Oryctolagus cuniculus: one gene and its partners. The protein of the gene in region 1 purifies or fractionates together with the protein of each later gene. This does not show direct contact. Links are inferred from orthologs where the notes say so. Each region holds a gene or a part of one and is shown on either strand. Other genes may lie near its edges.

Region 1 (4,870 bases):
GAACTGAGGTTTAATCTCTGCAACTACTACTTGCTACACACATTACCCTTGAACCTGCACATTATCATCTGGGATCAAGAACTACTCAGTCTCCATTCCATCATGAAAAGAGCATTCAACATAAAACGCTACTGGAAATGCAAATTTTACTCCGGATTCTACATCACCCACTAGGAGAGAAAACGGCTAACTGAACAAAGATTTAGTGAATCGAACCTTATAAGGTGCACTGTGGCACTACTGATTTCAAACTACAAAACTTCTAAGTGCAGTTGCAAGCTGTAATTAACTTCATTTACACATACAAACCTACTTTTGCCCTCCCCACACACACCACATATACTGAAAATGGTTTTGCTTCTAAACTTACACCAATCAGTCCACAATTCACATTTTTAAAAGAATCTACCAATGCAACCCTAGAAACTAAAAACAAATCACTGCGCGATTCTGATGCAATATGCGGACGCGGAACACTAATTTTCATTTTAATCTGATCTATACCCTTGATCTAGGGCCTAACAAGATTGAATCGAAATATGCTCAATCTCCAAGCGTCTACTTTTTCGTTCACCTACAAGACCGGATTATCGAGCCCACTAATCCATCAACAGTGTACAGTATTCGGCATTAACGGACAATGGCCCTTAGGAAGAGACCACATACATGCACTACGAAACCAATCAGTGCCTTGACACTTGCAACCAGGCACGAGTTCCGTCTAGCTGAACACACCCTGGGCGGAATACACCCGAAAAGAGACACAAAAATCCATGCTCTGGAAATCTGACCAGGGCTCAACGCTACAGCTACCCCAAACTACGGAACATTTTCGCACTCGTCTACTCCCACGTTATGCGAGTGACAGAAAGGCAGAGAGCTGCCGCTGCAGAAATGGATACAGGTCAAGTCTAAGTCGAATCCATCCTCTTGATATCTCCTTTTGTTTCTGCTAACGATCTCTTTGATGATGGCTGTCATGTCTGGGAGCCTGTGGCTGAAGAAAAAGGAGGAGAGAGATGGCAGAAGCTGCTGGTGGCGGGGCTTCTTCTGTAGAATGGAAATGGCTCTGGACTTGGCGGTAGCTGATGCCCCTCGCTCTGCTGCCGCTTGGCTCTGGACCGCAGCCGGGTAATGGCTGCTGCGGCGGCTGCTGGATGGTTGCAGCGACTGGGCCTGCTTCTCCTCAGCAGCCAGAGGCCTGGCAGCGGCGGCAGCGGAATGGGGAGAAGACGAATAATCCTCGGAACGGCTGCCTCCTCCGGCGGCCTCCGGAGCCCGGGCCAGGGAGAGTGCGGCGGCGGCGGAGGGAAGGTTTAAAACCGGCCCGGGTCCCTGGATGTGCCGCCGCCGCCGCCGCCGTGTTGGAGGCAGTAGAAGGGGAGAGACCAACTCTCCGGCGTTCCCAGCCCTGGAAATGGTGACAGGCGGCTCCGAACCCCTCCCGGGAGCTGCAGCCGCCGCGGCCGCCGCCGCCGCCGCCGCTTCTCCCCCCCGCTCCAGGAGCGGGAGGTGCCGCCGCCGCCGCCGCCGCCGCCGCGCCTCAGCCGGCTCCCGCCTGAGCCCACGGCTTCCACCTTCCCTCGCAAGAAAAGCCGAGGAAGAGGCTGCACGGTTAGAAGAGAAGACGAAGAGGAGGCGAGAAACGCCGCCGCTGCCGCCGCCGCAGGCCGGCCGGCTCCCGGAGGGCGCTGCCCCCGCGGCTGCTCACAGGCGCTGAGAGGGGCTCTGGGCCGCGGCCGCCGCCGTCTCTCATCTCCCTCGCCTGAGCCGGGCCTAGCCTCACAGCGGCTCAACTCTCAAACTTCCATCATGGCTGCAGCTTCCGAGAGGAGAGAACTGAGCGCAGCCGCGTCCCAGCGCCCGGGCGCGTATCCTGCCGCAGTGCACAAAGAGTCCCGCCACATCACCGTCGCCGGCCTGCCCGCCCCCTCCGCCGCCGCCGCCGCGCCGGGAGCCGGGCCGCCTCGGGAGCCCGAGGGGAGGCGGGGGGCGAGCTGGAGGCGGACGGGACCGCGCCGGGGGAGGGGAGGGCTGGGCCGCGCCGGGGTGGGGTGGGGGGCGGGGGCGGCAGCTCCAGGTGCGAGCGCAGGGCCCCCAACCTGCTGGTGCTATTGAGCATGCCCAGTGTGACTGCCTGGGGCTCGCTCGGGCTTGTTCCGAGGCGCCCGCCCGTAGCTGCACTTGCCGCGGCTGCTCCTGCAGCAGCTCGGGGCGGGGGAACGAGCTCAGCCTCGGCCTCTGCCCGGACACCCGGCCGGAGCCAGGGCAGACTGCGGCGGGGCGGCGTGGGGGCGGAGGAAGGTGGATGATGAAAACTGAGACTGGTGCGTTGAGCGGTGTCGCCGACTGCAGTGTGAGGTTACCTGTGCACAGGTGGACCGCGCGGGTCAGTATCTAGGGAAATGCCGCGAGGACACCCCTCCCCCGCCATGGCGTGCGAACGCACGCACTCCGTTTGTCCCGCTGTGGACGATCGCGGCGGTTCGCAGGGATCTCACTGTCGCAGCCTCTGCCTAGAGCGCCCGCGCCGCCGCCGCCGCCGCCGCCCCCGGGTCCTCAAGGTGTCAGCCTCAGCACAAAGAACGACCCCCTATTGTGTCTCCGGCGGCGCGTCTCGCCTCATCCGGCTCCAGTCACCGCCCCACCTCTCGCTGCCCCAGCTACTCGGTTCATTTGCCCGAAAAGCGAAAGCTCTCAGCCGGGCGCGCTAGAGTGCACACGTCGCCCCCCGCCCCGAATTCCCAGGGCCCGAGGGCCTCCTGCCTAGGCCGCCTTAAAGAGGATCCCCGTGAGCGGGACGCACCCCCACAGCTCCCTCCGCGGCCCCCGGAGAGCTGAGCATCTGTCCCCTCAGGCTCCGGGTCCGTTCGCGGCGTCGAACTCGAGCTCGGTCCTCAGAGGCTGCCTCGCCCCGCCCACTCTCCGGGCCGCTGAGAAAACCTGGCACGATGAATCGCCCGCGGCCAGCTTCCGCGCTCGCCGGGCCGGCCGGTGCACGCTGGAGGCCCAGGTTGCCGGCCCGGGCGCGGCGTTCAGGACGGTAGGAAGCGGCAGCCCCGCGAGTGGGCGGGGCGAGGAGCCCTAGGAGGGTTCAAAAGGGGGTGGAAGGATACCCGAGCCACCGTCGGAACTACTTTCAGGAAGGGGTCACGTGTGCTCCGAGTTGGGGAACTTTCCAAATTCCCACTCCTCCAAGCGTAGCTCCGGAGGCAAGTGCTTCGCCAGCTACGCTCGGGGTGCTCCCGCCTGGCGCGGGCAGCACCCCCACACCCTCCCAGGCTGCAGAGGGACGGGGTTGGGGATGGCCAGTGGAGCCTCCACAGGATCGCTGTCTGGGCTAGCTGCTGGGCAGGCACCCCCATCCAAGCACGTGCCCCCGCTCCCGTGCACCGCTGCTCTCACCCTTCTGCTACCCACGGAGTGAGCTCTCTCTGCTGTGGATTGACAAGCACTGCTTGTTCTCAACCGTGGGAAAAGGGGCCGGGCCCGAGGGATCTGGCGCATCTCCCTCGTTGGTTGGGGTGAACCCTCTGGTTCCGTGCTGTCGGGGCCAAAGGCTCGTTCCCGCTGCGCCTGCTGCTTGGATTGCAGGTGTTGCAACAAACTTTTGAGTCGCTACCCCTGCACTGGTGAGCACGCCCCACCTACTGTAGACTCAGCCAAGTGCCTTATCTGGTCTAGTCCTTGGCCGTATGCCCAGAACAAACCTGTCAAGTCTTTCTGCAGCCCCGTGGTTGACCTATCCAGTGAGTGAGCTGGTTCACAAATGCTTAGACCTAGAGCGCCTCCTCAACCCCCTCCCCAAAATACGCACATCAGTCAGCTTCAAAATGAGAAGGGGCGTCAACCAACACCAACCTACGAATTTTTTTTTCTCTCTTTCATTTCCCCCCACTCTCCTCCCACCCCACCCGGCGCCCCGCTCCAGGAAAGTAGAATTCCAGGGGAAAATTTGAGTTCAGAAGTATCTGACTTAGACCAGGCTGAAGCCCTAGGTTGTTTTTTTCTTTTTCTCTTTTTTTCTTTTTTTTTTTTTTTTTTTTTTTTTGACATCTGAGAAAATGGGAATCAGTTGGCACATGTGTTGTGATAAATGGTGAGTAGATACCTAGAAAGGTCTAAAGCCGAGTTTTCTTGTGAGGAAGATTGTAAATGTGCACATCATCATTACAGGCAGCCCCTGAAGACTAGAAACCTCAGGAGGCCCAGCTCAGAGAGCCACAGGCCATTACCTAACTCCAGGACTGCTAATTAAACCGGGGATATTTAGGGACCTCTGAGGCTACATAAAACTGCATTTATATACAACATCCTTTTAAGATAGCACTGCAGGAGTTAGCAACCCGCTGAAGCCTCGGTGCTGGTATTTATTGGAGACTGGTTTTGTGCATGCTTCTGGTCAGCTCCAGGGAGGCAGGGATCCTAAGTGGAAAAGGAAATGGAGAGTAATCTGGAAAGAAGAAAAAGGCTTCCTTTGGTTTCCAAAGATGGAAACCCTGTCCACACAACCTAGTGTGAGCTAGAGATTTCTTTATTTTACAAATAACCTGGGCTAAGGAGTCCCTGATGTTTAGGTATTGCATGGTAAAAAGGAGAGCTGTGCTCAATGGGTATCAACTGCTGCTTGGGAGGAAAAGGGGAAATGAAGACACAGTTAAATGAGGGGAGGTAGATTGCGGCTGGTTAAGTGTTCCACATTTGTTTCTCAGGTTGCCTGTCTCTGTCCCCAGAGTACCTGCTATTAGCACTGCTCTACTCTGCCTCTCCCCTGGAGCCTACCCTGGTGGTGATTAGTCTCACAGCGTCTGCTTCCTTGCAAGAAAATGAAACAGGGTTTATTTCTATCTTTGCTGGTAATGTCGGGCTT
Region 2 (4,177 bases), on another chromosome or scaffold:
GTCACCCATACGGAATACCTAGATTGGATTCCAGACTTCTGGTTCCAGGCTTTGGACTGGCCCTGTCCAACATGGGCACTTGGAGAATGAACCAGACAATGGAAGATTTCTGAGTATCTCTAATTATCTTTCCACCTCTCAAATAAGTTATTTTTCAAAACTTTTTGAGAAAATAATTTCTAACTTAGAATTCTGTACCCACCCAAATTATCCATCAAGAGGGTAAAATCAAGGTATTTTCATACTTGTAAGGTTTTAATTCTCAGGAATCTAAAGAAGAGACCAAGAAAAAGGAATACTTATGATTCAAGAAGTATAACGTGCAATTCACAAAAGCAAAAAGATTTTGTAGATCACATAGTATTATCTCTGTGACAAGCCTTAAAGTAGACAGATGAAGAAAAAAAATAATCTAAGAAAGGTATCTCCAGAAAAAAAAACTGAAAATGATTAATTACTTGAAGTATCTGCTTATACTTAGAAGACATTTATGGAGCCGGCACCATGACACAGTAGGTTAATCCTCTGCCTGCGGCGCCAGCATCCCATGTGAGCACCGGTTCTAGTACCGCCTGTTCCTCTTCCAATCCAGCTCTCTGCTATGGCCTGGGAAAGCAATAGAGGATGGCTTCAGATCCACACAGCTCTGGCCGTTGCAGCCATTTGGGGAGTGAACCAACAGAAGGAAGACCTTTCTCTCTGTCTCTCCCTCTCACTCTGTAACTCTACCTCTCAAATAAATAAAAGATCTTTAAAAACAAAAAAAGAAGACAATTATACTTTTGTCACAGATACTCATAATGAATCAGTCACAGGTGCTCAGAAGGTCAAAAAATGGAAAAACCAAGAAAATTAAATCAAGAAAAAAACAGCTATAAAAATAATTATAAACAAAAAATAACTACATGAAGAAAATTTAGCCTCTAGTATTCTACAGTGTATACTTAGTCTTAATAGTTTAAAAAATAAATACTGTCTTACCAAAATTATAGCATAAAGTGCTAAAAAGTAGAAGTGCATATGTTCTGGTAGAAAGCAAGAGTGTAATGACAAACACAGCTTAAACTTCCATAAACAATAATGGTATAAATACTAGAGGCAAAATATCTAGAAGAAATAGCTAAGAGTCAAGAAATCAGAACTGGAGAGTATCTAGTGTTTATATCCTAATATGATTTGAGCAACTATGTAAATATCTATACAGATAATGCCATTGATCTTGAGAATTAAAAAGAAAAATTTGCAAAATGATGGGAAAGAGAATAAAATAGTAGAATCAGTAGATTAATTTTTTTGAAAATGCTAATGATGAAGTATGACCTCTGACAAAAAAATTGTGTAAATGAGCAATATATTGAAAAAAAGAAAGAAACCTATTACATACTATCCAGAAGAGGAACCTCTAGCATAATCCTCAAAGCCCTACAGAACATTTTAAGAAAAAAAATACTCATGAACACATATGGAAATACATAAATATATATTAGCAAATCTGATCAGAAGATCTGATTTATGGTCAAGTCAGTTCATACCAAGAAACATAAAGTTGACTTTATAAAAAATCCATGTAATTTGTCACACTACCAAAGGCCTTTTAATTCTGAAAAAAAAAACAGCTATGTCTTCATTCCTTGGAATCAAACACTATATGTTTAAAATGTTGATTATTTATAAGTTTTTAGTAAATGTTACTTCTAGGACCACATAATTTTTCTGATTAGTACTGTGTTTTTGAATAATCTATCTTGGATGATTAGCTTTAAAAACTGTAAATAAATATGTATAGTTGTCATGCTATCCTCTTAAGACATAATCAACAAAAGATTAATTTCGCTGGATAGCAACAGAATGCCTGCAATTTTCAAAAAATAATCAGATTTGTAAATCTGTTCTGGAACTTCAATAATTGCTCACTTTTCTAAAAACAAAATTAGATATTATTTTAGGAGAAATGATCAAATGATTTTTATAATTCCTAGACTCTCAATTTCAAACACAAAATGTATCAAATCATAATTTGTAAATACTGTCTCAAATTTTATAGAAAATGAATAGGATTACAGAATTTCCTTTCAGATTTACAAACTAAAATGTTCATAGTATATTAACCACTTCTTTCATTAAATTATTATACCAGTTCTTCTTTTGGACTTACCTCTTTGCCTGGTGACTGAAAACAACTGTCTTTTACTTTGGGTGTTGAACAAAGCACTGATTTTGTAGAATTTGTGCTAAAGTCATTAGCAAGACCTAGAAGAAATTTATGAAACATAGTATAATATCTATTGGCTTTCATTAAAAGTAGTTCTATATGACACTTGAAAAAGTGGCTGTTGCCTCTTTAAACACAATTAGCTTAAATAAAGTACAATACTCAACTATTCAAATGCTCCTGAAAGGTATCAAAAACTGAGAAAGGCAAACAAGACTCCTCAAGAAGTATGTGCCAGCTCTTTGCTCAGAGCTTGTACAAAGAGGTATCTTTCCACTAACAATGGGCAATTTACAAAGAACAGAAATTTGTACCTTAAAATCGTGAAGGCTGGTAAGTCATGGAGATTTAACTGGTGAGGCAGCAGGCAGAAGGGCAAGACAGCATGCCAGAGATCAAGATTAAATTACTAACCTCAAGCCTTTTGTAATCAGCATTCATTCATTCATGACGGTACAGCTCTCACAATCTAATCACCTGTCAAAGGTCTCACCTCTTAACACAGCTGCATTAGGGATTAAGGGTCCCAACATGTTTTCGAGACTAACTCAAACCATAATATCTACCATCTATCCTTATTTCTTATGGTTTGCCTATTCTTACTCCAATACTTTCTGATGCTCACTTGAAAAGTTTTTGCTATAATTCATAACTTCCTTAGAATGGGATGTAAATCACCAGATATGGGGATGAAAATTGTCATTTTTGTCAACATTATCCTAAGTATATCAGGAATACATGAGGGATTGCATATGTACTCAAAATTCTGAATATATATTTAAATGCTAGAAACATGTTTGCTACATTTATTAGGACAAATTTATATTTTTATCCATTGCAACTGTCAGAATTTCATCTAGAAATAAAACCTTACTTCTTTCTTCAAAACAGTCTTGTAAGAATTCCAACATGTTCTGGCCTTGTTCTTTATTAATATTACGTGCCCTAATAAGACACAAAAAAGAGACAATGTAACATATTATTTCTAGAACATACTTGTTATTTGTTATTATTTAATTGAAAATTCTTATCATTATTATAAAACTGTTAATAGGAAAATATTTCTACTATTTGAAGATAAAACAAGTACTTGAGGGTATGTCATTATCTACATAAACAATTATATTCCTTAGTTAAACATTCATGTCTAAAGCTGTTTTAGACTACTACTGTATGTCAACAAGCACATAAATGTTTTTGAATGAATCCAATCAGTCCTTCAAAGACTTTACAGTCACAAGTACCAACATTTTCATATTCCTCCCTACAAGTTCCCAACTGTTCCTTTAATTCAATATATCTTACCAGTTCATGAACCAGTACAAATTTTTAAATTACAAATTATGTTGAGGGGCAGGCTTTGTGACTTAGTGTGTTAAGCTGCCGCTTGCAATGCTGGCATCCCATGAGCACTGGGTTGAATCCTAGCTGCTTCACTTCCCATCCAGCTCCCTGATAATGCACCTGGGAAAGCAGTGGAAGATGGCCCAAGTATCTGGGACTCTGCCACCCACGCACAAGGGAGATCTGGATGGAGTTCCTGGCTCCTGGCTTTGTACAAACACACATAATTGGTCCAAATAAATTTAATCAGATTTTCTAGGGTGATTCAGATGAGTCTCATGTGCAAATCTGGTTAATAACCACTAATGAATCATATTCCCTTACTTTGCAAATAGGAAAACTGAAATCCAGTTAGATCAAATGACTTGCCAAAGTTTGAAAACCTTATTACTATTAATAAAAGAGCTTGTAATAGCATATAGGTCACTGCTGAAAATTCTGGCCTTGAAACTACGCTAGAATACCATATATAATAGATATACACTGTACAACTACAAATAAAGGCAGGCTATCCCCTATTTCACAGATGAAACCAACACAGATCAGATGACTTGCTAAAGAATATAATGCAGTCACTATCAGAACACAGGTCACCAATACATAGTCTGCATGTAGTGTCAG
Region 3 (4,685 bases), on another chromosome or scaffold:
GACCACTACCCTAAACCCCCTTAAGGGTTTACTATGGGGAACGACAGATTTTCCTTCCATCTGCCTAAAACCTTTCGAGTTTTTGTAGCATTGATTTATTTTTTTTATTTATTTTATTTTTTTATTATTATTTTTTTTACAGGCAGAGTGGACAGTGAGTGAGAGAGACAGAGAGAAAGGTCTTGCTTTTGCCATTGGTTCACCCTCCAATGGCCGCCACAGCTGGCGCGCCGTGCTGATCTGAAGGCAGGAGCCAGGTGCTTCTCCTGGTCTCCCATGGGGTGCAGGGCCCAAGCACTTGGGCCATCCTCCACTGCACTCCCTGGCCACAGCAGAGAGCTGGCCTGGAAGAGGGGCAACCGGGATAGAATCCGGCGCCCCTACCGGGATTAGAACCCGGTGTGCCGGCGCTGCAAGGTGGAGGATTAGCCTAGTGAGCCGCGGCGCCGGCTGTAGGATTGATTTATTTAATTTGAAAACTCAATTTTCTTAGACATTTAATTTGAAAAAATATTTTGAGATTCCCCATTTGCTGGTCCTCTTCCCAAATAGCCATGGCTCCAGAAGCCTGGGCTGGGTCAGGCTGAAGCCGGGAGACTCCATCCAGGTCTCCTATAAGGGTGGCAAGAACTTGGGCCCTCCCGTGCTGATTCGCATTAGCAGGAAGCCAGAATCAAGCAGAGCTGGGATTTGAACCCAAGCACTCCTGAAATGGGGATCCCAAGTGGCATCTTTAAAAAAAGATTCATTTATTATGTTTGAAAGGCAGAGTTACAGGGAAAGACGGAGAGAAAGAGAGATCTCACCTGCTGGATCTCTTCAAGTGGCTGCAGCAGCTGGGGCTGTGTCAGAGCAGAGCCAGGAGCTTCTTCCCAGTCTCCCACGCGGGTACAGGGGCCCGAGGACTCGGGCCATCTTCCACTGCTTTCCCAGGCCATAACAGAGAGCTGGATGGGAAGTGGAGCAGCCTTGGGGCTTGCGCTGTGGCATAGCGGGTAAAGCCGCAGCCTGCAGTGCCGACATCCCATATGGGCATAGATTAGAGACCCGGCTGCCCCACTTCCGATCCAGCTCTCTGCAGTGATGGGAAAGCAGCAGTAGAAGATGGCCCAAGTGCTTGGGCCCCTGCACCCGCGTGGGAGACTGGGAAGAAGCTCCTGGCTCCTGGCTTCAGATCGGAGCAGCTCCAGCCGTTGGGGAGTGAACCAATGGATGGAAGACCTCTCTCTGCCTCCCTCTCTCTGTGTATCTCTGACTTTCAAATAAATAAATCAACCTTAAAGAAAAAAGAAGTGGAGCAGCCTGGACTCAAACCGGTGCCCATAGAAGATGTAGGGTCGCAGCCCGTGGCTTCCACTCCCTGAGTGGCATCTTCACCACTGCACCAAACGCCTGCCACACTGTTAACAATTTTTTTTATTAAACATTTTCACTGCCTTGTAAGGATCAAACGGAATACATGGATTTTTTGTAAGCTAACAGTTATTTCTTGAAAATAAACATGATTTTAATATCTAAATTGAAACCTTACAGAAACGCCGACATACTTAGAACATCGCTTGATCGTTATTCTAGAACACGGAGTTGGGCAATGTATTCCCCCACCGGGGGCTCTGCCCTCCAGTCACTCTTGTCGGTGGGAATCCGAGGTGGGCTCGGTGGGCATCACAGCCCCGAGGCCAGGCTCCTCACGGTGCCCCTGGCCTTGGCCCTTACAGCACCGGTGGGCCTCGGGGTCCCGGGACCGCACCGGGGAAGCGGTCCACGCGGCTGAGGCCCCACTTCCCCCGGTCAGTTCCCCAGGGCTGCTTCCGAAACGGACCCCCAGGCTGCATTTCGGACGCGGGCGGGGGTCCTGCCGTCCTCCCTCCCTCGGGCTGTGGCCTCCTTCCCCCCACACGCACGTGCGGGGTTACACCGCGCCCTGATCCACCTGTCGTCGGGGTGCGGGCGAGGTGCGGGGCAGCGCAGGACAGCCCACTGGGCCGCCCCGCGGGCGTCGCACCCACAGGCACGGCCGCGCAGCGCACTCGCCCGCCGTCTCGGCTGAAACCGACATTTTAAAACCCTACACGACCCCATTCCGTGCTTGTTGGATTGACAGCCGCGACATCAGCTCCGCCGGGGAGACACCATGACGTCACTGCGCGTGAACGAAGCGCCACTCGGGGTCGCGGGCCCCCGCAGGGGCGAGCCCGGGAAAGAGAACCACAGACTACGAGAACGCCGGCCTAAGGCGCGCCGCAGCCGCCCCGAGGCGCGGGACGGCGCCACCTTGCAGCGCGCACAGCGCGAGGTGACCCCGGCCGGGGCGGGCAGGGCCGTGCCATCCGCAGCAGGGGGGCGGCGTGCGGAGCGGACGAGACGGAACCCCCCCGTCGCCGTCAGGATGGACTCGGCCGGATGTGACGCAGGGCGACGTAGGCTTGCGCGTTGCGGGGCGCAGGGGCGGGGCCCGGCGAACGTGCGTGCGCGCGTGCGCGTACTTGCGTCTGCCTGAGGTGGGCTCGGGGTGAGTGGTCCGCGGCGTCGCGTCTGCAGGAAGAGGCACCGGGTGCGGGCCGGGCGCGGGAGGGCGCGGGAGGGCGCGGGAGGGCGCGGGAGGGCGCGGGAGGGCGCGGGAGGGCGCGGCGTTGCTGCCGGGGACGCCGGGGCGGACGCAGCACCGCGTCCCGGCCGCCGGGAGGCCGCAGTGTCCACGCCGAGCACCTCCGCAGTGCGGGGGTCGTTAGCCCCGCGGTGTTGGCGTCCGTGGTGTCGCGTCCCGAGCGGGGCGCTGCAGAGGACTCGCCCCCGGGGCGGGCCGCGCGCGCAGGGGTCCTGGGCGGGCGTTCCCGTCTCGGTCCGCCGGGCATCCGCGGCCAGGGAGCCCGGGCCGTGGGCGACGCCCCCGTGCTGAGTGTGCCCCGCCCGTCCCAAGCCCCCGGGGGCGAGTGGCCGGGGCCCGCCGTGACCCTCGGGCCGCCCCGGGGAGCGGCCACGCAGAGCCGCGGTCACGCAGGGCCGTGTCGGGTTCGTGTGGAGGGCGCTTGCTCTGCGGTGGATCGTGAGGAAAGAAACTGAGGAAAACGTGACGGAAACTCCCACGGGGAACCAGGAGCCCCTGAGCGTTCGTGGGGACAGAGTTAGAGACAATGAGTTGACGTGGGCGCCAGCGGCGTTTTGGAGTCCACGCGTAGTGTTTTTCAGGATTTGCAATTCGTTGTCACTATGTGCAACGTCCTTCACGCCCGTGGACTACAGACATTTTGGTGCTGAGATAAACTCTCCATTGTTGACTTTCCGAAGGAGCCTCGCGCTCACGCCGTTAGCGCCAGCCTTGCCAAGTGAGTGTGTCACACACTCACGCCGTTAGCACCAGCCTTGCTGAGCGTGTCTCACACGCTGTTAGCACCAGCCTCACCGAGTGTCTCACACTCAGTGTTAGCACCAGCCTCGCCGAGTGTGTCTCACACTCACAGCGTTAGCACCAGCCTCGCTGAGTGTGTCTCACACTCAGTGTTAGCACCAGCCACACCGAGTGTGTCATACACGCTGTTAGCACCAGCCTCACTGAGTGTCTCACACTCAGTGTTAGCACCAGCCTCGCCGAGTGAGTGTGTCACACACTTGAGCCATTAGCACCAGCCTGGCCGAGTGTGTCACACACTCACAGTGTTAGCACCAGCCTCGCCGAGTGTGTCTCACACTCGCGCCATTAGCATCAGCCCGGCCAAGTGTGTCTCACACAGCGTTAGCACCAGCCTCGCTGAGTGTGTCTCACACTCAGTGTTAGCACAAGCCACACCGAGTGTGTCACACACGCTGTTAGCACCAGCCTCACTGAGTGTGTCTCACACTCACGCCATTAGCGTCAGCCTGGCCGAGTGTGTCTCACAGTGTTAGCACCAGCCTCGCCGAGTGTGTCACACACTCACACAGCGTTAGCACCAGCCTTGCCGAGTGTGTCACACACTCACAGTGTTAGCACCAGCCTCGCCGAGTGTGTCTCACACAGCATTAGCGCCAGCCTCGCCGAGTGTGTCTCACACACTCAAAGCGTTAGCACCAGCCTGGCCGAGTGTGTCTCACACAGCGTTAGCACCAGCCTGGCCGAGTGTGTCACACACTCACACAGCGTTAGTACCCGCCTGGCTGAGTGTGTCTCACACAGCGTTAGCACCAGCCTGGCCGAGTGTGTCTCACATTCACACAGCGTTAGCACCAGACTGGCTGAGTGTGTCTCACACTCACAGCGTTAGCACCAGCCTCGCCGAGTGTGTCTCACACTCAGTGTTAGCACCAGCCTCGGTGAGTGTGTCACACACTCACAGTGTTAGCACCAGCCTGGCCGAGTGTGTCTCACACTCAGCGTTAGCACCAGCCTCGCTGAGTGTGTCTCACACATAGTGTTAGCACCAGCCTGGCCGAGTGTGTCTCACACATAGTGTTAGCACCAGCCTGGCCTAGTGTGTCTCACACTCAGTGTTAGCACCAGCCTGGCCGAGTGTGTCTCACACTCAGTGTTAGCACCAGCCTGGCCGAGTGTGTCTCACACTCACACAGCGTTAGCACCAGCCTGGCCGAGTGTGTCTCACACTCACACAGCGTTAGCACCAGCCTGGCCGACTGTGTCTCACACTCACAGTGTTAGCACCAGCCTGGCCGACTGTGTCTCACACTCAGCGTTAGCACCAGCCTGGCCG
Region 4 (4,884 bases), on another chromosome or scaffold:
TTCCATCCGCCAGGTCACTCTCCAATTGGCCACAATGGCCAGAGCTGTGCCAATCCAAAGCCAGGAGCCAGGAGCTTCTTTTGGGTTTCCCACACGGCCATCTTCCGCTGCTTTCCCAGGCCATAGCACAGCAGAGAGCTGGAGCAGAAGTAGAGCAGCCGGGACTCAAACAGCCACCCATACGGATGCTGGCACTGGAGGCAGCAGCTTTACCCGCTACGCCACAGCGCTGCCCCCCCGCCCAGCTCTTAACCCAGCCAGTACTGACAAAACGGTCCCGGAAAGACCTCTGCGTGACCACACCGATCACCAGGAAAAGTGCAGCCCAAGCACATGCGAGTCTTTGGAAACGACACCTACACTGCTGAAGTGGCACTAAAGTGACAGATGACAGTAATCCAGCGGCCCCAGGCCAGCAAACTCCACCGCAGACAGATTTGTCTGCTTTGTGCCACGGTGATTCCTGCATGTGCGGCAGTGAATAGAAGCGGGGCAGCCGCGTGCAAATTCAAGAGCAAGCACGTCCTAACCCTTCACTCTCCAGCAGGCCAGCAGGAGCGGCGCCCTCAGCAGCCAGGCTTAACGGGGAAGCAGACCTAGCAAGAGTCACCTACAGGTCTGAAATCTGCATTAAAAATATATAAAAAATAAAAAAGCAAGAGGCCAGTGTCACGGCGCAGGAGGTAAAGCCATCGTGTGTAATGCCAACTTCCAACATGGGCACCGGTTCGAGTCCTGGCTGCTCCTCTTGTGATCCAGCTCCCTGCTAACGGCCTGGGAAAGCAGCAGAAGGTGGCCCGAGTGCTTAGGCCCCTTTACCCGTGAGAGACCCAGAAGAAGCCACTGCGGCCATCTGGGGAGTGTCCAACAGTCGGAAGGTCTCTCTCTCTCTCTCTGTACATCTTCCCTTTGCTCTCTGTAACTCTTCCAAACAAATAAATAAATTTAAAAAAGAAGGCAAAACGAAATAGCCTCACTGTAACTAATTCGAGTGGAGACGACCCCGGTTCCCCCACCCCTTGAGTGTGTTCTGAGCACGGCATGTGCCCACGCCCCCAGGTCTGGGCTGAAAGCCGGCGTCCAGCCTCAGGGCCACGTCCCTTCCCCTGACAGCGCTGGAACACGGGCCCGGCGTCTGCTCTGGAGAGGAACCCAGAGGGCAGGGGGCCACGCTTCTCTCAGGGCCACTTCAGAACACTCTGGGCCCAGCCACACGGAGGACAGGCCCTGGATGGGGGCCGCTGGCACCAGACACGCCACGCCCACTCAGGTGACAGAGAACACACACCTGTGGCATCGCATCTAGTCTCGGGATGCGCCCTCTACATACAGTCAGTACCCCAGCACACTGCAGGAATGTCACCACACCCGGCGGGTCCCCACAGCCCCCAGGGGATGAAGACTGGGGGGGGGGGCGCTCAGCGCTGTGAGGCTCCGGGGCAGGGAGGCGTCAGCCAGGCACTCGCAGGTCCCTCGGGACCACAGACACTCATGGAGCAGACACACTTACTCTTCAACAGGGTTCAACCCTCCCAAGCCAGCGGCACTCAAAATGTTTCCAACTTCACTGCTCCACTTCCGCGCAGGGAATGGGCTCAACCAACACTTCCCAGTATGATGGAAACAGGCTACAATCCACACAAAACTGTAAAACTGTAGCCTTAACAAGTCGGTTGTAAAGGAGGCTAACTGGGGCTGCTACTGCGATAGCTACCTCGTACCGGGTCAGCCTGCCTGGCTCGGGGCTCGGCGATCGCTGCTGAATGAATGACGGGGCCCCAAGCGCCCAGACTCTCGGGACAGCGTGACCGAGACCCGGCCGGTCCAACAGCCAAACCCTGCTCAGGACGCCACTGCTTCCTTCCACCACTCTCTTTTAGACAGGAAAGGAAGAGGGGTCCAACCGCGCTCGGCCCCGAGGCGCAGGTCAGTCTCGCGCTGGCCAGAGGCACAAGTCCCGGGCCACGGACGCAAAGGCCATCGCCAGGAGGCACGCGTGGCCTCCGCGAACGAGCCCGGGCACCGAGTATAGGAAGTGCGGGAGCCTCTGTGCACGCGAAGCCCGCAGAAACGCACGCCAGGCCTCCCGGGGGAAAAGCCCGCGACGCACCGGCTGCCCGGCGACCCGAGTACCGGGAAGTTCCGACGGCACGCCGGAGCGGGCGCCCCAAGAGCGGAGCCCCCCGAGAGGTGCTGTCCGTGCATATTTAAGGAAAGGCCCGCGGCCCGCCCGGGGGAGCCGCCGCCAACAAAGCGGCGCGGCAAGGCGGGAGCTGCCCCGCCGCCCGCCCCGCACCTACTTTGTGCCGCTCTCCCACCTCTCATTCAGAGGCGCGCGGCGGCCGCCCAGGCGCCGGCGCCGGGGCCCGGGGCTCAGCCGGCGCCCAGCCCGGGGTCCACGGCCGGCGCGACCCCCAGCCCGCGCCCCGCGCCCCCAGCACCTCCCCCCCGTGCGCGACAGGGGACCCCCGCCGCCGCGCCCCCCGCCGGCGCCGCCCCGGGCCCCGCGGCACCCGCACGCCCGCGCCGCTGTCCTCAGCGGCCCCGGCCCCCGGCCCACCCGCGCCGGCGGGTCCCGCGGGGTCCACGGCGCTGGGGGCGGCCCGGGGGCGTGGGGCGCGGGGCGCGGGCGGCGGCGGCAGGCCCGGGCGCGCCGACGGCGCCGCCAGAGACCCCGGGGCCGCGCCGCGCCCCGCTCGCCCCGGGAAGCCGCGGGGCCGGGGACTGGGGAGCGGGAACCGGGCGGCGGCGGCGGCCCCGGGGCCTAGGCCCGGGCGGCGGGTCCCGCGCCCTCCCCCACCCCACACGCTCGCTCCCGGCCGCCCGCGCCCGCGCGCGCTCCCCCAGGCTCGGGCCCCTTCCGGCCGGGGGCGCGGGCCGCCGGCTACCTGCGGGCTGCGGAGGGCCATGGCGGCCCGTTTGAATGGGACTCGGCGCGGCCCGGCGGCTCACGCTGCTTCCCCCGCCGCCGCCATCTTCTCGCCCGCACATACACACTCGCATCGGCCGCCGCGCCTGCGCACTGGCGGCGCGCCGCGGGGCGCGGGCGGCCGGGGCGCTGCTGCGCGTGCGCGGCCGGCAGGTGGGCGTGCGCGGGCGCCTCCGGCCGGGCCGGGCGGCCGCGGGAGCCGGGCCGGTGGACTGTGAGCCCCGCCGGCTCGGGCAGGTGCGGGCCTGATGGGGAGAGGGCGTGCAGGTGCAGGGGGAGCTAGTGCCCCCAGCCCCCGGGGCCCTCGCTGCTCCAGGAGAGTCTCCCTTGGCTGATCAGACCCCCGAGGAGGGCGTCTCCAGATTAGCGGAGTCGCCCTCCCGTGCGTTCGTTCACTGCTTCCCTCGCGGTTCTGCCGGGGCCCTGGCTCCGAGCCACGCCTTACGCGGGCATTGCAAACCCAAAGCCAGAAGCACCGAAGCCAGGCACACAGGTGAAGCGCCTGCCGTGAGGCCTGGCCACCATCCTGGGTCCGGGGAGCCCCCCGAGCGCGGGCTGCCACCGTGTGTGCGGCTGTCACGCGCCCACGGGGAGCCCGGGTCGAGCAGCCCCCGGTGATGCATCCTGCAGCCGGCGCAGCCCCAGTGGCCGGGCAGTGTGCGGAGGAAGCGCTACAAAGACGCCGCAGTGAGATACATTGGGTCTCGGTGGAATCCCCAGTGTTGCAAGCTGGTGTTACTGTTTGTTTTCAGGATTGGTTGTCAGAGTTACAGAGAGAGAGAAATCTTCCATCCGCTGGTTCGCTCCCCAGATGACCCAAGCGTCCAGGACTGGGCCAGGCCGGAGCCAGGAGCCAGGAGCTGGATCCGGGTCTCCGACATAGGGGGCCCAAGTACGTGGGCCGTCTTCCGCTGCTTTCCCAGGTGCATTAGCAGGGAGATGGGCTGGAAGTGGAGCAGCCGGGACTTGAACCAGAGTCCCTGTGGGATGCCCGCTGCTGGCCCCTGCGGCTTGTTTTGTGATAGACAGATCAGAAATCGGGTTACATATAGATGATGAGTGAATTACTGCTGACTTTCATCACGTGATGATGATGTTGAGCTTGTGAAGAGAATGCCCCCAGGCCAGCATTGTGGCGAAGCTGGCAAAGCCACCATCTGCAAGACCAGCATCTCATATGGGTGCTGGCTCCTGTCCTGGCAGCTCTACTTCAGATCCAGCTCCCCACTAATGGCCTGGGAAGAGCGGCAGAGGATGGCCCAAGTGCTTGGGCCCCTGCTACCCATGTGGGAGACCTGGAAGAAGCTCCAGGCTCCTGGCTTCAGCCTGGCCCAGCCCTAGCTGTTGTGGTCATCTGGGGAGCGAACCAGATGGGAGATTCTCTCTGTCCCTGCCTCTCTCTCTGTAACTCTGACTTTCAAACAGATAAATAAATCTCAAATAAATAAATGAAGAACACCCTCATTGTTAGGAGATTCGTTCTAAATTTAGTTGTGAATATCATAATGCTTGCAAACTTTATAATAGTTCAGCAAAAAAAAAATAGAATTCATATAAACACAAACATATATAGAGAAAGCAAATATGGCAAAATGTTAACAGTTACTGGAGTAAGAGTTGTTATTTTTCAACTTCCTCTGTTTGAAAATGTTTTTAACAAAATGCGGGGGAAATAGGATCTATCATTATGTCTGTTCTATGATTACAAGTGCATATGGATAGACACTGGAAGGGACACCAAGTCCAGTGACAATTTATAGTAGTCCATGTTTTTATAGTAATGTTGCTTCAGCAAAAAAGATTTTTTATTATGATAATGAGGCGGGCATTTAGCCTGGATTTCAGTGTCCACGTCCCACATCAGAGGACCTGAGTTCAAGCCCCAGCTCCAGCTCCTGACTCCGCCTTCCTGCTAATACAGACCTCGGGAGGCGTCGAGGACGATGGCTCAAGCC
Region 5 (4,177 bases), on another chromosome or scaffold:
CAGCAGTGGACACTCAGTGCAGCGTAGAGCCCTGCAGTCTGACCCTCCTAGAATCTTGTCACAGATGGATGTAAAGGTTCTTGCTTTCTAATTTATAGACTCTTTAGAAATCTCCCTTTTTCTTGCTCCCTCCAAGAAAAAAGAAGAGATTGTACATTAGAAGAGTTTCCTGCCACCCTGTTACAGTCTATTGAAAATGTACTTTTCTGAACTGCAAAGCAAAAAACCTTTTCTCCTACACATGGAAGTCTGAAATCCTCCTGAAACGGATGAGTTTCTGTTTGGGGTTAGAGCATCCCAGCTTTTCATTTGGAAGAGTAAACAGTTTAGTGTGAAATTGGGCAGCTGTTAGCTTCCGAGTGGCGCACTTGCTTAGTTGTCAGGGTACCAGATTGTGTTTGTCTTCTTTTCGTCTCTGTATCCAGGCCTCTGTGTTTGTGATATAGTTTGGAATTGTAGATGCCTTTGAGGCATTTGAAAGTAAACATAACTCTTACAGTTTATTGCTGACATTTTAATTTTCGAAAAACAGAACGCAGTATTTCAGGTTTTTATTTGGCAGGAATGACCTGGGCGTTGTTGCTGGCTGGCTGACAGACAGGTGAGGGGGCGAGGGAGGAGATGTCTCCACAGTGCAGCTGCTGTCCGTGCGCTTTCTGGCTTTCTCCACTGTGTTCTTGGGACTCAGCATGTTGAGTTCAGTTGTTTGTGTTGGGAGCTTCACCAATTGCCGTCTTTTGAGAAGCAGTGTCTGTTATATGAACAGTTACTTAGGTGGACTGCTGTAGTGACGCCTGTTTCAGGGAGGGATCTGATCCAGGACTCACAGCCCTGAGGTGTGGAATGGCTTCTGAGGTCTGGGCCCTGTGTTTGCTGGGAGACCCTACGCTCTCCCAACGTCCACTTGCTGAGGCCCAGGACATTGCCTGACCCTCCTGAGTCAGCCAGCTGGTGAGTGGGCACGAGTTCCTGTTCATTCCTCTCAGGAAGGTGATGTGATTGGGTAGCTCTCTTGTGCCCCCCCTCCCCCCCGCCTCCCCAGGATTGGGAAAGAATCAAAGAATCATGTACGGTTAGCGTTGAAGCTTGACCTCTGAGAGATTTCCGAGGAGGGTCTGGCACGAAACATTGTTTTAGGTAAACTGAGTCCGCATTTGGAAGGTCGTGACCAGTGTTCCTGTTTTGGCAGCAATTGCCTGTTCAGAGCTCTTGGTGACCAGCTGGAGGGACACTCGCGAAATCATCTCAAGCACCGACAGGAGACAGTGGACTTCATGGTGAGGCAGCGGGAAGACTTTGAGCCGTTTGTAGAAGATGATGTTCCTTTCGAGAAGCACGGTAGGTTCACTGTGGGATGCAGAATCTTCTGGAATAATGCAGGGGGTGATTAAGTCCATCCGCATCCCTGGCCTTCCCCTAGGGCTTGATCGTCTGAGTTACAGCTCACTTGTTACTTTGTAATAGGCACCAGTATGCTAGGTAGTTGGCAATCAATAGATGTAAGTATAAATGCCCTTCATGAAAATGAAGTCAGTTGACATGAAAAGCTTGTCCTGACTTCTTACTCAGTGAGGCAGCCTATAAAATAGTGTGTATGGGTGTGGCATGTGGCGCAGTGGTTAGGATGTGGCTTGGGATGGCCACATCCCGTATCAGAGTGCCTGCGTTCAAAGTCTACCTCTGCTTCCTGCTGCTGTGCGCTCAGGGAGACAGCCGTGTTTAAGCACTCGCCTCTTTGACACCATGTGGGAGACCTGGGCTGAGCTCCCAAACTGTTGTAGGCCTTTGGGAGTGAACCAGTGGGCAGAAGATCCCTCTGTTTTTCTCTGTTTATCTGCCTGTCCAATAAAATGGAATTAAAAACAAAATAGTGTGGCTAGACAGGTCCTGTTTTTACAAGGTACACAGATGGTAGGAAAAGTCTGGAAAGGTACACTTTCCAGCAATCACTTGCCCTCTTTAAACTTCTTTTTTTTATTATTATTATTATTATTATTTTTTTTTTTGACAGGCAGAGTGGACAGTGAGAGAGAGAGAGACAGAGAGAAAGGTCTTCCTTTGCCGTTGGTTCACCCTCCAATGGCCGCCGCGGCTGGCGCGCTGTGGCCGGCGCACCGCGCTGATCCGATGGCAGGAGCCAAGAGCCAGGTGCTTTTCCTGGTCTCCCATGGGGTGCAGGGCCCAAGCACCTGGGCCATCCTCCACTGCACTCCCTGGCCACAGCAGAGGGCTGGCCTGGAAGAGGGGCGACCGGGACAGAATCTGGCGCCCCGACCGGGACTAGAACCCAGTGTGCCGGCGCCGTTAGGCAGAGGATTAGCCTAGTGAGCCGCAGCGCCGGCCCTCTTTAAACTTCTATAAAAGGGAGATAATAAAAGCACCTCTTCTGGCCGGCGCCGCGGCTCACTAGGCTAATCCTCCACCTGCGGCGCCGGCACACCAGGTTCTGGTCCCGGTAGGGGTGCCGGATTCTGTCCCGGTTGCCCCTCTTCCAGTCCAGCTCTCTGCTGTGGCCCGGGAGTACAGTGAAGGATGGCCCAGGTCCTTGGGCTCTGCACCCGCATGGGAGACTAGGAGAAGCACCTGGCTCCTGGCTTTGGATCAGCGCGGTGCACTGGCCACAGCAGCCATTGAGGGGTGAACCAATGGTAAAACGAAGACCTTTCTTTCTCTGTCTCTCTCTCTCTCTCACTGTCCACTCTGCTTGTCCAAAAAAAAAAAAACAAAAACAAAAACAAAAAAAAAAAACAAAAAAACAGCTGTCTTACAAGGTTTCTTGGGAAGATTAAATTAGATAACAAAATTAGAAGGAATGCCCATTAAGTATATGCAATTTTAGGATAATGAGACTATGGGTATTTTAAATCAGTAGATTAAAAATATTCATTTATTTTCATTTTATTTGAAAGGCAGAGAGAGATCTCCTGTCTTCTGTTTCATTCCTGAAATGCGTACTGCGTCCATGGCTGTGCCAGGATGAAACCAGCAACCTGAAATTCAGTCCTGATCCCCCATGTGAATATTGGGGACCCACGTACTTGAGCTGTCACCTGCTGCCTCTCAGGGTGTTTATTAACAGGAAGCTAGAATTGAAAGCAGGGCACAGTATTATGGCACAGTGGGTTAAGCTGCTGCCTGGGATGCTGGCATCCTATATGAGCACTGATTTGAGTACTAGCTGCTTTGCTTCCAATCCAGCTCCAGCTAATGTGCCTGGGAAAGCACTGGAGGACAGCCCAAGTACTTGGGTCCCTGCATCCATGTGGGAGACCTGGAAGAAGCTCCTGGCTCCTGGCTTCAGCTTGGCCCAGCTCTGGCCGTTGCAGCCACTTGGGGAGTGAACCAGTGGATGGAAGACCTCTCTCTCTCTGTCTTTCCCTCTCACTTTACCTTTCAAATAAATAAAATAAAAGATGAAGAGTTTTAAAGATTTATTTTATTTATTTGAAAGGCAGGGGCTGGCACTGTGGCATAGTGGGTAAGGCTGCTGCCTGCAGCATATGGGTGCCAGTTCAAGTCCTGGCTGCTCTTCTTCTGATCTAGCTCTCTGCTATGGCCTGGGAAGGCAGTGGAAGATGGCCCAGGTCTTTGGGCCCCTGCACCCTCGTGGGAGACCTGGAGGAAGCTCCTGGCTCCTGGCTTCAGATTGGAACAGCTCCAGCCATTGTAGCCATCTGGGGAGGGTGCAGGGTCCCAAGGACTTGGGCCATCTTCTAGTGCTTTCTCAGGCCATAGCAGAGAGCTGGATCAGAAGTGGAGCAGCCAGATCTCAAACCAGCGCCCATATGGAATGCTGGCACTGCAGGCGGTGGCTTTACTGGCTGCACCACAGTGCCGGACCCAGACCTCTGTCTGTCTACCTCTGCCTCTCTATCACTCTGCCTTTCAGACAAATAAATATTAAAAAGAAAAAATAATGGCCTATAAAAAAAGGCAGAGTGACAGAGAGAGGGTAGAGACCGAGAGAGAAAACTGTTTCATCTACTGGTTCACACCCCAAATGACTGCAATAGTCAGGGCTGGGCCAAGCTAAAGCTAGGAGCTTGGAACTCCATCTGGGTCTCCCATGTGGGTGCAGGGACCAAGTACTTGGACCATCTTCCACTGCTTTCCCAGTGCATTAGTAGTGAGCTGAATACGAAGCCAGGACTCAAACCAGTCTTGCAGCAACTAAACC

Evidence for each region.
Region 2: the proteins of PTEN (region 1) and CENPC purify together in Homo sapiens (affinity purification with western blotting; 3 studies listed by BioGRID, with this or other methods). This does not show direct contact. The link is inferred for Oryctolagus cuniculus from reciprocal best matches to the Homo sapiens genes PTEN and CENPC.
Region 3: the proteins of PTEN (region 1) and PARK7 purify together in Homo sapiens (affinity purification with western blotting; 4 studies listed by BioGRID, with this or other methods). This does not show direct contact. The link is inferred for Oryctolagus cuniculus from reciprocal best matches to the Homo sapiens genes PTEN and PARK7.
Region 4: the proteins of PTEN (region 1) and USP10 purify together in Homo sapiens (affinity purification with western blotting; 4 studies listed by BioGRID, with this or other methods). This does not show direct contact. The link is inferred for Oryctolagus cuniculus from reciprocal best matches to the Homo sapiens genes PTEN and USP10.
Region 5: the proteins of PTEN (region 1) and OTUD3 purify together in Homo sapiens (affinity purification with western blotting; 3 studies listed by BioGRID and IntAct, with this or other methods). This does not show direct contact. The link is inferred for Oryctolagus cuniculus from reciprocal best matches to the Homo sapiens genes PTEN and OTUD3.

Annotation. Positions count from the first base shown.
Region 1 is NC_091446.1:42,814,121-42,818,990, forward strand, and holds the start of PTEN (phosphatidylinositol 3,4,5-trisphosphate 3-phosphatase and dual-specificity protein phosphatase PTEN), read right to left. Parts: upstream 2,980-4,870; 5' UTR 2,979-2,979; coding exon of another isoform or gene 2,952-2,978; 5' UTR 2,435-2,951; coding exon 2,367-2,434; intron 1,908-2,366; exon of another isoform or gene 998-1,907; coding exon 903-997; intron 740-902; exon of another isoform or gene 1-739. UniProt on the Homo sapiens protein: Dual-specificity protein phosphatase, dephosphorylating tyrosine-, serine- and threonine-phosphorylated proteins.
Region 2 is NC_091439.1:97,746,751-97,750,927, reverse strand, and holds part of CENPC (centromere protein C), read right to left. Parts: intron 3,158-4,177; coding exon 3,087-3,157; intron 2,251-3,086; coding exon 2,156-2,250; intron 1-2,155. UniProt on the Homo sapiens protein: Component of the CENPA-NAC (nucleosome-associated) complex, a complex that plays a central role in assembly of kinetochore proteins, mitotic progression and chromosome segregation.
Region 3 is NC_091438.1:159,774,411-159,779,095, reverse strand, and holds the start of PARK7 (Parkinson disease protein 7), read left to right. Parts: upstream 1-1,415; 5' UTR 1,416-2,512; exon of another isoform or gene 2,513-2,554; intron 2,555-3,170; exon of another isoform or gene 3,171-3,326; intron 3,327-4,685. UniProt on the Homo sapiens protein: Multifunctional protein with controversial molecular function which plays an important role in cell protection against oxidative stress and cell death acting as oxidative stress sensor and redox-sensitive chaperone and protease.
Region 4 is NC_091449.1:66,212,971-66,217,854, reverse strand, and holds the start of USP10 (ubiquitin carboxyl-terminal hydrolase 10), read right to left. Parts: upstream 3,027-4,884; 5' UTR 2,910-3,026; coding exon 2,889-2,909; intron 1-2,888. UniProt on the Homo sapiens protein: Hydrolase that can remove conjugated ubiquitin from target proteins such as p53/TP53, RPS2/us5, RPS3/us3, RPS10/eS10, BECN1, SNX3 and CFTR.
Region 5 is NC_091438.1:150,770,103-150,774,279, reverse strand, and holds part of OTUD3 (OTU domain-containing protein 3), read left to right. Parts: intron 1-1,189; coding exon 1,190-1,338; intron 1,339-4,177.